2 linked regions of the Arabidopsis thaliana genome follow. The protein of the gene in region 1 interacts with the protein of each later gene in a pairwise test. Each region holds a gene or a part of one and is shown on either strand. Other genes may lie near its edges.

Region 1 (7,801 bases):
ATACACCTTTTACAGGATCACTTAACACAACACACACACACACACACACACTTGATCCCAGACTTGAATTGAATCTTGCTTGGTTGTGGAAAAAAGCCCAGGACTAGCCCAAACCAGATTATTTTGTTGTTATGAAACCAGATTGGTTGGTGGCAATAAAAGCCCAGGCCTAGCCCAAACCAGATTATTGTTGTTATGAATACCTTACCTTCTTTCTTTCTTTTTTGTCAAGTATCTTACCTTCTTTCTAGGGTTGTTATTATAACTTTGAGTCAATTGCCTTGCCGGAAAACAAAATTGGCGCTGTTTTCACCGTCTCCATGGCCAGTTCTAGCAAGGAAGTTAATTTATGTGGTTTGTTTTCAGTGGCTCTGAGCTACTATCTACTTGGCTGTTGATTTTATTTCTTTTCTTTTCCATTGATCTGCTCTTCTTTTAGGTAAGAGAAATCCGGAAGATGATGATTTGGAGACCAAACCGTTTCTCAAGAAACATAAGGACGAGGAGAAGAAAGTAACGTCGGATCACTCCACTTTTTTTTTTTAATACATACACCACTTATGTATGTATGTATGTGAATGTAACAGGAGGAGACACCGGAAGGACTTGCTGATAGCCTCCAGCACAAGTCTGATCAAGCTAATTTAATCTCTCTCAAGGTTTAATATTGTAATAAGTTTTATTATGTTCAAATTAAGCATCTTGTTCTCCAAAATCTGTTCCAACGGCTACTCGCTTAACAGGAGGAGGAAAGTACTGTGGAAGGACGTGATGACACTCCCGATTTTGTTGAGGTAGCTACCTCTCCTTATGCAATTTTGTTTTGTCCTTTTCGTCATGCTAACACAAACTTCTGCTTGGCTGTTAAATTCAGGAAGCTTCCGTGATAAAAAAATACGCTCTTTATGGGCCGTATCCCTCACCGAGCCCCATTATCACATATCGTCGCTTTCTTCAAAGATGTTGGAGAAGTTGTTCATGTTCGACTTGCTATAAAACGAGATGGTGGGCGTACTGGCTCTGGCTTTGTTGAGTTTGCTTCTCCCTATGAAACAAAAAAAGTGAGACCAGTTTTTTTTTTCTTTGAAAACTTGTGTATAGTTAGTTATATGTTTAAACGTATCCAAGGTTATTTTCTGACGTTTTTTTCACTCTAGGCACTGGAAAAGAAGGATGGAGAATGTTTGCTCGATCGCAAGATTTATCTTAAAGTGCCTAAGCTAAGCTCTTCATTGACTCTTCCTACGTAAGTAAACATGATTTTTCCACGTTTTGTAACTGATTGCTAGACTTTTTGATACAATATCACAGAAGACTAAGGCTTTTCATTTTTTGATTAATTAGGTATTGCATAGATCACCAGGTTTGGTAAGGGAACAAGACTTTTTTTTGAAGTTTTTTTGTATACATGTAGAGATCACTAGCGTTTTCCATTTTTCTAGGTACCAAGACTTCCTTCCACGACAAGAAGATGAGACACCTCCCGCCGATTTTGCTGAGGTACCACCCTACTGCCCTCATTATCTTCAAAACGCTCGAAATGTTTACTTATTTTCTGGGGCTGAATCTTGCTAGCTACTTTTTCCTTGTTTCCTGCTAACACACTTGTTCCTGTATAATGCACAGGAAGTTCTCTTTGTTGCCAATCTCTCCCCCCAAACTAAGATATTAGATATGTAAGTAGCACTCCCACTTTTCTTCTCTGAGCAAAGAAAAAGTAACTCTCCCATCACTCATATTTTACCCTCCACTTTTGCAGCTTCGGTTTCTGTCAAGATGTTGGAGAAGTTGTTAGTGTTCGACTTATTGCAAACCATGAGGACAAGCCTGTGGGCTGTGCCTTTGTTGAGTTTCTTTCTGCCAACGAAGCAAAGAAGGTGAGACTGGTTTTGTAGTCATGATGGACGATTTTAGTATTTTACTAGTCATTTTGAAAATTAGTGTATACAAACTTATGATGAAAAACATACTACTAGTTTTTTGAAAGCTGGATAGCTGATTAAATCTTTTTAATACTGTAGGTGCTGGAAAACAAGAATGGTGAATATTTTCATGGTCATAAGATCATTTTGATGAGAGGACATGGTGAAACTCCCGATTTCGCTGAGGTACCTCTTCTTGTTGTCTTCACAATATGTCAGGCTCAGCAGAAACCTTTAATAATAATAACAGAAATCTTGTGTTTTTTTTTTGTGCAACCTTAAGTCCTTTTCTTCTTTGCGTCGTGCTAACTCACTTGGCTGTTAAACGCAGGCTGTTGCCACAAGTAAAAAAAAGACGCTCTTTGTTGCCCATCTTACTCCCCAGACTATAATATCAGATATGTAAGTAGCACCTTAAGATTTCCTCTTTCGTTATTGGAGCAAGTTTCTCATGACTAATATTTTATCCTCCACTTTTTTACAGCATCGACTAATTGTTAACCACACTGGCAAGCATGTGGGCAAGGGATTTGTTGAGTTTGCTTCTGCTAAGGAAGCAGAGAATGTGAGAGTTGTTTTTCTAGTAATTGATGAAAAGTAATGTATACAAGTCGCAGTCATTTGATTAGTTAAACCGTTTATTTATACTCTAGGCGCTGGAAAAGAAGAAGGGTGAATATTTGCAGGATGGCGAGATTTTTCTTAAGGCGGCTAACATAGCTCCATTCCCTCCACCCAAGTAAATTAATTTTCCATGTTATGGAGATTTGTTGCTGTCAACTTATTGCCACCACAGAAGACTAACACTAATATTATATTTCTTAACTAGGTGGTGCGTAGATCACAAGGTTTGGTAAGGAATTTTCAACTATTTGCATCTTGAGGGTTTGTTATCAAGAGCACATTGGGTGAAGTTTTTGGTATACATGTAGAGATCACAAGGGTTGTTTAATGTTCCAGGTACGAAGACTACCTTGGACAAGAAAGAGATGAGGCAGCAGTGGAAGGACTTGCTGAAACTCCCTATTTTGTTGAGGTACGCGTGTTGTTATCATCTTCAAAATATGTCAGGCTCAGAGGGGAAATGCTCAAGTGTTTGATAACAAAACTGTTACCTCCTTAGAGCCATGCTAACACACTTGGCTGCTAAATACAGGAAGCAAGAAAAAAGACGCTTTTTGTTACCAATCTCCCTCCTAGAACTAGTATACAAAGGATGTAAGTAGCACCTTTAGTTTACTCTTTCGTTCTTGGAGCAAGTTTTTCATGACTGATGTTTTATCCTCTTCATGTTTACAGGTTGTATTTCTTCCAAGACTTTGAAGTTGTTCGTGTTCGACTTATTGTTGACCAATCGGGTAAGCATATGGGCTGTGGCTATTTTGAGTTTGCTTCTGCTAATGAAGCAGAGAAGGTGAGTAGTTTTTATAGCAATGATGAAAACTAGTGTATACTTACTTATATGATGAAATTGTTTTGATGAAATATTTTTATACTGTAGGCGCTGGAACAGAGGAATGGTAAAAGTTTGCGCTATCACAAAATCTTTCTTGAGCTGGCTGAGATAGCTCCATACCCTCTCCAACACATGTACATTGATTTTCCATGTTATTGCTCTAGTTTTGATGTCATAACAGAAGATTAACGTTATCATTTTTTGTTAATTAGGTACAAGCTTGCAGAGAAGCTTTGGTAAGGGATTTTTTAACTACTATTTTGCCTTTAAGAGATTTTTTGTTATCAAAGGCAAATTCGGTGAAGTTTTTCGTATAAATGGGGAGAGATCACAAGGGTTTTTGATACAATGCAGGTACGAAGACAACCTTCTACGAGAATCGAATCTGAAGCAACAGAAGGCAAAATCCAACGGATTCTGCGGTAAGAAGATTACCTTCTCTTACGGGGACGACTGCTAGAAGATGAAGAAGCTCTCTTTTTACGGGGATTAGTGTAGACACTGAAATTATTATCCATAGTAAACTGAAAATTCAAAAAGGGAGTACGGCTTACAGGTCGGTCTGATTTCGGTTTACCAAACCGGTTCACAGTTTCACACAGAATATCAACATTACTGGTTCATACACCTTTTACAGGATCATTCAACACAAGTACACAAAACATAGGCAAGAAGCTCTCCATTTATCATCATCCCCTCCACTGATCCTTCTTGTTCCGAACTTCCCTCATTGTATCAATTGGCGACTTGCAACCGAGTTTCTCCTGGAAAATAACAAAGTTAATCTCGATATACGACAAGAAAGTAAAGATCGATATCAACAGTGATAGCTGATAAAACCGAATCATGAATTGTTCAAGAAGATGAACCAAATGGAGTAATAACCTGTATCTCTGGCTTATCAACACGCATAAATGGATTTGTTTCGAGCTCTTCCTCCAGTGTTGAAGGGATTGTGGGAAGATCTGCTTGGCGCTGTTGACGGGCCCATGCTAACTTCTGTTGTATCTTCCCGTTGTTTGGTTCCACAGTTAGAGCAAATTCCAAGTTCTTAACGGTGTACTGAGAACCATAAGAAATGAATAGCGGATTATTCAGTTTATAGGCATCCATTTTTATGAGTTAAGAACTCAAAAGACATAATGAAGCTGTTGATTTTTTTACCTCATGGCCGCAGTAAACCTGTGTCGGTTTAGGTAATGCAGCCAGAGTCACACACAACGACTGATACATCTGCTCAGCTGTCCCTTCAAAAAACTTCCCACATCCAGCAACAAACTGTATAAAATCAAAGTAAACACAGCTTAATGTTTAACTCATAACTATCTCCATTTAGACATTTACAGAGATAAAAGATCTACGGAGAACATATAGGGTCCATGGTAGGGAAGAACAAGAGGATTCAGCTTAATGTTACCACTTACAAGTGTATCTCCGGTGAACACGGCTGGGTTTTCTCCTTCTTTTCCGTTCACATAATAACTAATGTGACCCTTGGTGTGACTGTAACAAGTAGATATATCAGAGGAATCAGCGATGACAAGAGAAAATGACTGAGTTAAACATCAAGTAGATTAGATGCATCTAAATTCATTGGAAAAAAAAAAAAAAAAAAAAACAAACCAAGGAGTGTGGAGAGCCAATATGTTAATATCCTGACCCAAAGTCAGCTTGTCACCATTATCAACCGCATCAGTGCAACCCTTCACCTTATCCAGAGAACCTCCATATACTTTGATATCAGGAACCAACTGCTTAATCTTCTCGTTTCCACCGGCATGATCCCTTTGATCATATCAAGCCACCAATCAAACAATGAGTGTTAAAATAAAAACGTCGCCTCAAATCCAAATTTCATCGAAGACAAAGGCAACCATCATATGGTACATATATAATAAATCTTGCATCTTCAAGAGGTGAAACATTAATGCAGAAAGTATCAGACTTTAACAAAGAATCAGACTCACGAAGATGAATCTCTAAGTCAGTTGAAACTGATAGTAGGAAAAAGCTAAACACTTGATCAGAAAACTGAGAGATTTAACAATAGACTTGTACTAATGTTAATGTCTAGGACCGGAATCTAGCATATGTCGATATCACTGAGTAATAAGAACCAACAGAGAATCTCGGAGATGAATCAAATAAGATAAGTTACCAGTGACATAGAGAGAAGTGAGGTTTACTTACCAGTGATGATGCGTAGTGAGTACGAACTTGATCTTAGCTTGGTGCTTCTCAGCCGATGCGATCACCTTCTCCGGATCAACTGGATCCACAACCGCCGCGTCTCCGGTGCTCTCATCGATTATCCTGTTTTTTTTTTACGAAGAAAGAATCCTAAACTGATGATGAACCGAGTCAGATTAAGAAGCAACGAAATTGAAGTAGGATATCAAAATGGCTCACAGATAAGAGTAGTTGTCTTGCAGACAAGGAACGTGGAAGATCTTCATCGTCTCCTTAGATCGATCGTCCTTCTCCTCCGGAACACTAGCTGTATCATCATCATCATTTATGTCTGGACTAGTGATTTATCTATTTCGGTTTACTCAAACCGGATCGAACCGAAACAAATCAGGATAAATTTTGCAGCCGGTCATCCGGTTCAATTGTAATTGTAACTGAACCGGAATCGGATAAAAAACATAAGCTTCGTTGAGAATTGTTTATTTTAGGTTTTGGGGGAGATTCGTTCTCGTACTGTGGATTGTTGTTGTTGGGATTATCTGGGAAGAGAAAAAGAAAATGGGGAAGCAGCCGGTGAAATTGAAGGCGGTGGTTTACGCACTTTCTCCGTTTCAGCAGAAGATCATGACCGGTCTCTGGAAGGATCTGCCGGAGAAGATCCACCACAAGGTCTCTGAGAATTGGATCAGCGCCACTCTTCTCGTTACCCCTGTCGTTGGAACCTACTGGTACTCTATCTCTCTTTCTATCTCTCTCATCAATCGATTGGTAAAGGAACCTTTGGATCGAGTTCCGATCTGGTTGATTGTTCTTCGATCTGTGTCATCGGTCTTGTGCGGCGCATATGGATATAGGGTTCTTCGTTTGTGTCATAGGAACAAATGAGAAATGATAGGATTTAAGTTAGTTTGAGATGAGTATTAAGTGGAGTGTAGTATATAGAGACTCTCAGCTAGAAAAAGTCTTCCAGGTATCAAATTAGTATTGTTGATGAACCACTCTGTGGAATTGCATTTCAAGATGTTGAGGATTTAAATGGCTTAGTCGTAATCATTAGCTGATTAGTGTGGTTCTATTAAAACTGTTGAGTTCTTGCTTGTGAAGCTATTAGTTACCTGATCGATCTAAACATTACGGGTGCTGCATATTATGGTCTAGTTTCTAGTCATCTTTTGTGCTTATTCTTTCAAATACACACAATGAATGCAGGTATGCTCAGTATTTCAAGGAACAGGAGAAGCTTGAGCACAGATTCTGAAGCATGAAGTCACTCCTTTTCTACAAGAACCTGACAGTTTGAAGTAATTTCTTTTGTTTCAAGCCTATAAATTTCACAAAAACTCTTGTGGGAATCTTCTGAGTCAGTTTTTCTGAAACTCTTTTGCTAAATAAATGTTTGGGTTTCATGACAATGACTCTTGTTGTTCATCTTTCTTGATATATGGTATGAAAATTGGATTGAATCGAGTAATATATTGATCCCTCAAAACAACTATTAGGCAAAATCAAACGCTGCCTATGTTCCCTTAAGACATCAACTACAAACAACTATTAGGCAAAATCAAACACTGCAAGTCTGCAACCACTCCTACAAGGTTTGTGATGAACAGAGTCGTTGGTTGGACTAGAAATGTTGTCCATTTCATCAAGTACAGTTCAGCGGAGTCATTCTCTTCGTCTAAGGCTTTTGAGGTAACTGTGAAGTTGGTGTCGATACCGGCTAGGACTTTAAGTAGACCTTGGAAGACTGCAAATTAGTGATTTATATAAAACTACACGATTTGCCGAAATTTATTTCACTTTTGTGACGCAAGATAAAATTAAGCAAAACATAATTTATTTCAAAACGATTAATATAAAATACCAAAATGTCACAAAAATCAAAAATAAATAAACACTCCCTCGACAATACTGATCACTTAACCGGTTTTAAAACCAACAAAAGGCAATCCTTTAGTTCTTTAAATAGTTTTAGATAGAACCGACGGAAACGGCAGCTTTGATGAGTAAACCAAAGAGAACAAAAGGGTTAGAGAAGAAAGGAGAATGGTCGCTCTCCAATTCGTAAACTTGGCTAGGTGGCCACCGTCTTATCATCGCGTCTTGCTGCTCCGGTTTCATGACCCGGTCGAGTAACGTCTTGATGTACACGCGCGGCACTTGCTCCTCTTGTCCTTTTTCTTTTTCCTCTTCTTCCAGTTTTGCTGTCGTTAACGCCAAAATTGGTGCTGGT
Region 2 (6,980 bases), on another chromosome or scaffold:
ATTTAAATAACTTTAAAACTTTCTCATGAAAAATAAAAAAATATTACTACTTGCTTAAGCTTCCTTTTGTTCCTAGTCAATAAATATGTCCCTAGGGAATTGGAACATTCCTCTTTTTCACATATCTTGGTAATCAAAACCCCATTTTTTGTTATGTTGTGACAGAGACTAGCTCTTAACTGACACTACAAATGATTTATGTTCATTGTTAATCTTACCATGTTAAGTTCACTAATTTGTATGTAACCGACGTACGTGAGATAATCTCTACTTCATGTTTCTACTGTGCTCTGTAACGGTTGTCTTTAACCAATATACATTGACTAAAATCCCAAAAAACAATACTATGCTCTAAAAATGGTTAAAGATTAGATGAATAAATGGAAAATAATAAAGATGTAGTATGAGATATGAAATAAATAAAAGTAATCCCCTCGTTATATATTTTGCATAATAGCAGAAGCATATTCTTCTATGAATGAATTTGTTTACTTTTCAGTGGGATGTTAGATAATGATTCCATTCTATTTAACGAATATGATTAGTTTTAGCAGAATATAGAATTTCACTCTTTATCTCTCTAGTTAGACAAGTATCCCCAATATCATTTACTCGTTCTTTTTATCAATATATATATATATATATATAAAAACTCATATTTTGTAGTGACGAAGAAACACGAAAATAGTAATATATAAACCGGTATAAAACCATATTCCATATATATATTTAAATTGTTGGGACAGAAATATATATAGATTGAGAAAGAGCAGAATATGTATTTGAAGTGTTGGTTGAGAGTTGAGACAAATTCTCCATACCAGCCAAAATTAAGGGGTTGGAAATCTCAAACCAAAAACTACGATTATAACATAAATGGTACTGTGCATATGTGACCTATAAATATTAGCTTAAAGCTACGTACTTGTTGCCAACCTGTCTTTGAATAATGTTGGATACAACTATTTTACAGGATCGACGGTTAATTAACTGAAGCATTAATGCATATTTTATGCATGTAATTAAGTAACTGTAGTGATCGAATGAAAAAGGTCATAACATGGCCACTAGGTATACATGTAGTATTTTTAAAACACTAGAAACTGTATGAACGCTAAATAGTTTAAAAATTGCCCATGTTGTTTTCCTAGATGGTAAGACTCGAGATCGCTTAGACGGCCCTGTCGTAATTAAATAGCCAATTACACCAATCAATGGAATTTTCAACTGTAAGTACAAACGGCTAAAAAGACGTTCTAATCAGGCAAGTGGTTAACTACAAAATTTAGAACGATGCACGTTTTGATCAATATGTAAGCATATTCTTAACACCTTATATATAGATGGGTATATATGACAGTACTCTTAACACAATAACACCGTATAGATAGATAGATATGACACAGAAGTTGTGATCTTAAAAGGTATACTCGGCTAAAAGACGCTACAAGTACTCAAATGGTACGAATAATGAATTTAGATGCACAAAACGTATATATTGATCAATATGTATAATAATTTTCTAACCTTATAATGAATACTACATTGAGGTTGTTAAAAAGTTGAAAGAACTATATTATACTATGATTAAGGTAACGTATTGACGTATTGTAAAAATATTCAAATGAGCGCCTGAGATGTGCCCACATAATATTTCATCAAGAATACGCCGTGAAGCTCAAAATTCTTAAAAGAACAAACGAACTCATTATTGAATAGTCTAGACCTATATATCTATCAAATCGAGCTAATTATAATAATAGTTATAGGGTACAACACGAAACCCTAGCTATGAATAAAAGAAAGCCATATATGGAAAGGAATTTTCTAACATAACGAGACACATGCATTTCTCTAACATGTAACATCTACCGAAGATATGAGAAGAAAAGAAATAAACACGAGAAACCAAAATATGCATATCAACTAAACATTAAACACCAAATATCCCAAAGGAAAGACGACTCCACAAGATGATAAAAACACATAAATTTCCGGACATTAAAATTCAATTAAAAAGGTGGTCTTGAAGGTGTTCCAGCTCCCCATCCAAGCAAATGAGGATCACCAGAAAACCCATAACCACCCACATTACCTCCTAACTGTCCCTGACCGGTCACTCCAGACGGCGGAGATGCTGATGGAGCTTGTTGCATCTGCGGTGGCCCTCCTCCTCCTCCTCCTCCGCCACCACCACCTTCTTCTTCCTCCTCCTCAATCGGTAGTCTCTCGAAAACCGCATTTGAGAACGAAGCCGCCATTAGTATAACCGGAGCTGATGCAATAAGGGGAGCCACAACGCTTCCTCCGACCACCTGACCTTGCCCTCCGGCTAAAAATATAGACAAACCACCGGCACCAGGCGGTGCAGGAGGTGGCAAAACAGTCCCCGTTAGCGAAAGAATCTCAAACCTTCCATGTAAAGTCACAACTCCTCCTCCTCCGGACACACCACCGCCATTTCCAGGAGTGACTGGCTGACGGAGAGTGACGTTAGATACGGTGCCGTTTCCTCCTAAAACGGAGACGCCTCTCCCTCTCCTCCTAGCGTACGTGGAAACACTCTCAACTATGTCAGCTCCAGGAGATACTTCAAGAACGTGAGATCTAAGCGCGTTGGGGCTATCACGAGTTACTATGATCGGTGGCTTGGCTTTGTTCTTAGATCCTGGTGGACGTCCACGTGGACGTTTTCCCGGTGCTGAGCTTGATGTATTCGGGTCTGAATCGGGTCGACCCTGTTGATGATGATCTTTGTTTGAATGGTCAGATTCTCTTGAATCATCCGACGGTTGTTGTTGTTGTTGATGTTGCTGGTGCTGATGATGATGCTGGTCGATAAGATTGATCCCGCCCTGCGGTTGAAGCTGTTGGTGGTGAATCTCCGGTCTAAAGAGGTTATGGAAGTATCTAGAAGCTCCACCGCCTTGCTCGTAACCGCCTTCCATCGCCGCCGCATCTACTAATTCCCTATCCCACCACTGCTTATTCGCCAGCTCAAATCAATTTCTCGATTCTTGATCCTGCTCGTTCATATATTGGTAGCTAGGTGAAGAAGAGCGTAAAGAGAGAAAAAGAAAACTCAGATCGAGAAGTCAAAACTCATGATTTTGAGGAAACAATAGCTAAAGCATTAAGGTGTGATCGGTTACGCAAGCCGACAAAATATAGAAACAGACCAAGAACAGAACTAAATTAAAGACGAAGCAAAAGATATAAAAAAGGTGACTTATGTTAAATGATCTCTCTCATGAAAGGTAAGAGGAAACCCTAGTTAGGTAGATTAATTAGGGCAAGAGAAAGAAGTAGCTTCTTCTTTGCATAGGAGTCGTATTTAGCGATTCTGATGTGCTATGGGAAAAAAAGGAGAGAGAAGCTTGAGATTCATGTGCGACTCTGCAATAAATTTTTGGTCCTCTCATTGAACGAGGAAAGTAAAAGCAAAGACATACACCGAGAATTTAGCGGAGAAACAGTCCCCTTTATTATATCATTAATATAATAATTATTATTTGAATAATATGTTCTTTTTTAAGTAAATTAATACTATTTATTACATATACACAAATGCCGACAAAAAAATTTATGTGTGTAAGTGGTTATCCTTACATAAGATCTACCAAAGAAAACTAGGGGTTCGTCGCAGTTTTTGTTTGGCTCCAATCGGATAATACAAAAGAAATTTAGAGAAGGAATTCTTATATTTGAAAGCATGAGATAAGATTAACAGAAGAGATAACATTTGGTCAATTTGTTTATCAGATACTATTATATACGAGCTAAAGAAAACGTATCATTTAACAAAAAAAAAAAAAAAAAAAAAATGTCAAGTGGAAGTTGGGTACACAAGGATTAAAACGAATCCTACATTCCCTTTAAGGCGCGTGGAGGTTATGTTTAAACAAAAGTTATTTGATAAATGTTATTATCATGTTACTAACTTATTTATGGTTTTAGTAACTTAATTAAAAGGTTTTCGTATAAGTAAAAATGAGAAATAGTACTATTTAGTCTTCTCTTACTTGAGAAAATACTACTATAGGTCATTTTATTTAGAATTTTAATTTACTTACGCATCTTTTTATTGTAAAACTTAGTATAAACTTGCATTATTACTAGATATTTGTAGGCTTGTGATTTGCATAGTGCTGCTGATATATGTTATTATTCATATTCAAACTGGATGCAGAACGTGAGTTATATAGAAGAAGAAAAGAAAAAAAATTTACATGTATAGTATTATTATTAGTTTTGTCAACTAATTTTGTAAAAATATAATGTATAATAATTTAAAATAGATATATAGTATATGGCTTGCGAATACAATATTCTAAGAAGAACCCACGTTCTATAATAAACAAACGGATACGAACCATCTTTACTATAGAAAAAGAAGAAGAGAATTAGTCACTTTTAAGCGCTGCAGAACAACAATTGATTAATTCTGCTTGTGATGTGTTTTTTTTTTTTTTTGGTTGCTACTAAATTATCTTGCTAAACCCGAGCTAATTATATATCAAAGAATCAATGTTCTACTAAAGTACTTTATATTCACTTTTATTGTCAAGAGGGCATAAGGCGCATAACGTAGAACAATCAATCTAGGTAATGGTCCTTTGTTCTATACTGAGATAGTGAGATCTACCCATGTATACTCCTTTAAATATCGTAAAACGGAGTGGACCCTTTTTGATGATAAGTTTGGAGAAAGTTAATGATCCATTAATGTGATAAGACTAGCTGATAATTATCAAAATGTCAAATTAGTTGATACTACTACTTTATATTTTCAAAAATTATTGATAAGTACTCCACTTTGTTGCCTTATGTCGAATTTGGTGAATCACTAATTAGAACTACGCTTTTTCTAACATGGACAAAAAAATATACCAGAAAAAGACAACTAGACACTGATAATTTATTGATTTAGAATGAGTAATGTATTAGTAAAATTTTTTTTTGATATATCATCTTCATACAAATGATATCAAACTTTTAATTTACAAAAATTGTTTGGGAAACAAACGATAATCCTGAAAACACTTACCAATTGCATCAACCCATTCAAATAATTATTGACTTATTCATCTTAATTTATTGAACTGACTAAACTCGATCCGACCCATTAATGCATGACCTCATATCGGACCGTGACTGGTTGTCTTAATTTTTAACTGCACCCATATAGTAACACCTAAGCTCCCTCAACGTGGACGCATGTGGCCTGAACCATGGTGGGACCAATCTCAGTAGGAAAGTAGGAAGTGGATCGGAACCGTCCATCCTCATGGCATGTGGGACCCAGGAACCGTCGTTTTCATCGGCGTAACCTGGCGAGTCAGGGCTCGGTGCAATGTACTTGAACCGGACACGTTAGCTTGGTCCGCACGTGCACAGACAAAAGTCACGTGCGGTCAAAAGGTCAGAGCATGAAAGTGAAAGCCAAGCTGTGTGACCACGTGGAGGCGGTCGGATCATCGGTACTTGGTCAATACCTTATCCAATCACAGTACTCCTCCCGAATCTATCTAACTTACTTTCGCGTCTTTTGCCCGTATTTCTAATGCTTAAAAGCAAAAACGTACGTGAAGTCTTTTGTGTGCGGTATTTTAATCATAAACTGGTCCAATTTTTTTCTATCGATCGAAAACGGAATGTGTGGAACTATCAAGATACTTCGAAAATAAGTGAGATATGTTTTATTTGCCCCCAAAACAGAAAAGTGAGAGGTGTTTCATGTGATATATAATTTAATTTTAAGCCATAAAGAGAGAGAACTACACGTCATCCAAGTCTATAAATATGTGACTGTACCTAAGTTCTTATGACGCTGTCGCTACTCGTCTAGATCATGAACACATTTCTCTCACATTAATTAAAGATTATATATGTATTAATGAATTCAGACGTCCAGTTACTGTCGCGTGGAATTCAATGTTAGAGAACTCATTAGAGAAAACTAAGTTAAGTTCTTGGTATCCATAAGAGTTTATATATTTACCAAACATGGAATAAAAGCAGTTCTAAATTGTTCCGACAAACACGTAAACTGATCAAAACATATATATATTTTTTTTTTTTCCCAACGACCAAAATATCTCGTAAGGATGCAGTAGATATGTGAGGTTCGGAGGCACTAAAGAATATCAATTTGGTTTCGGTTCATAATTGATCCCTTGATGATCTTGTAGCTGTTATTGTTCTTCTTTTTATTGTGGCTAGCTATTGCTTCTTCAGCCTACGCCCCTACTCCATATATGTATCTCCCCAGTCTGCTCTCATGCGATCACGAAAGGGTATCTCTTTTAGGGAAATCCAACAACTGGTGAATAAAATGCTGGCTCTTTATATCTAGAAAAAAAAACATCAAACAAAAAGTAAAGGTCGTGAGACTAAATATCATACCCTCTTTAACAATAAATAATATGGGCAAAAAATTGTGATGATTTAGGGATACCGTACCCATCAATCAGTATGCTAATTTAACTTCTATATTTATGTTCTTTTGTTTTTTTTGCTTTCTTTTCTCATCAATCAAAATACCACGAGCCAGATGTATATAAGATATTAATGCCATCCTTAAAGTTTATACTTACATAGCGATTCTATTCTCTACAGCACCTTTAAATTTTGTTTTTATAGTTTTGAAAGTGTAAGCAATGAGTTCGCTGTATATAAAATGAAAAAAAAAATCTAGCTAGTCTTGAACTCTCAGTTCTCATTAATTTTATGTACGTTAGTTAAAAAGTATTGATTTATCAATTCGTGGCTTTTTTTAAACCAAGTAAAGAACATGTATTATAACGAGTTTCTAACTCAGCTAAGTTTGATTATATTTTCTCCAAAAACTCGAACATCAATCGGGTGAAGACTTTCCCCCTTCTATCAGGAATTCAGAATTTAATTTACTAAATATCATACTTTGGAAATATTATTCATTGATAGTTCATAGTTGATAATGAATATATGGATGCATAAAA

The links. The genes of interacting proteins can lie anywhere in the genome.
Region 2: the proteins of GLY2 (region 1) and ESC interact in a two-hybrid assay, tested with the Arabidopsis thaliana proteins (one large-scale study listed by BioGRID).

What each region holds. Positions count from the first base shown.
Region 1 is NC_003074.8:3,393,689-3,401,489, forward strand, and holds GLY2 (Metallo-hydrolase/oxidoreductase superfamily protein), read right to left. Parts: upstream 6,074-7,801; 5' UTR 5,835-6,073; coding exon 5,788-5,834; intron 5,692-5,787; coding exon 5,569-5,691; intron 5,164-5,568; coding exon 5,002-5,163; intron 4,882-5,001; coding exon 4,803-4,881; intron 4,657-4,802; coding exon 4,543-4,656; intron 4,441-4,542; coding exon 4,264-4,440; intron 4,143-4,263; coding exon 4,068-4,142; 3' UTR 3,861-4,067; downstream 1-3,860. Other genes in the region: AT3G10845 (RNA-binding (RRM/RBD/RNP motifs) family protein), read left to right, coding at 321-354, 440-513, 588-659, 744-794, 1,158-1,246, 1,443-1,500, 1,627-1,676, 1,760-1,877 and 9 more; AT3G10860 (Cytochrome b-c1 complex, subunit 8 protein), read left to right, coding at 6,127-6,296, 6,778-6,826; MES17 (methyl esterase 17), read right to left, coding at 7,540-7,801. UniProt on the Arabidopsis thaliana protein: Thiolesterase that catalyzes the hydrolysis of S-D-lactoyl-glutathione to form glutathione and D-lactic acid.
Region 2 is NC_003070.9:7,268,992-7,275,971, reverse strand, and holds ESC (Putative AT-hook DNA-binding family protein), read right to left. Parts: upstream 3,417-6,980; 5' UTR 2,949-3,416; coding exon 2,013-2,948; 3' UTR 1,900-2,012; downstream 1-1,899.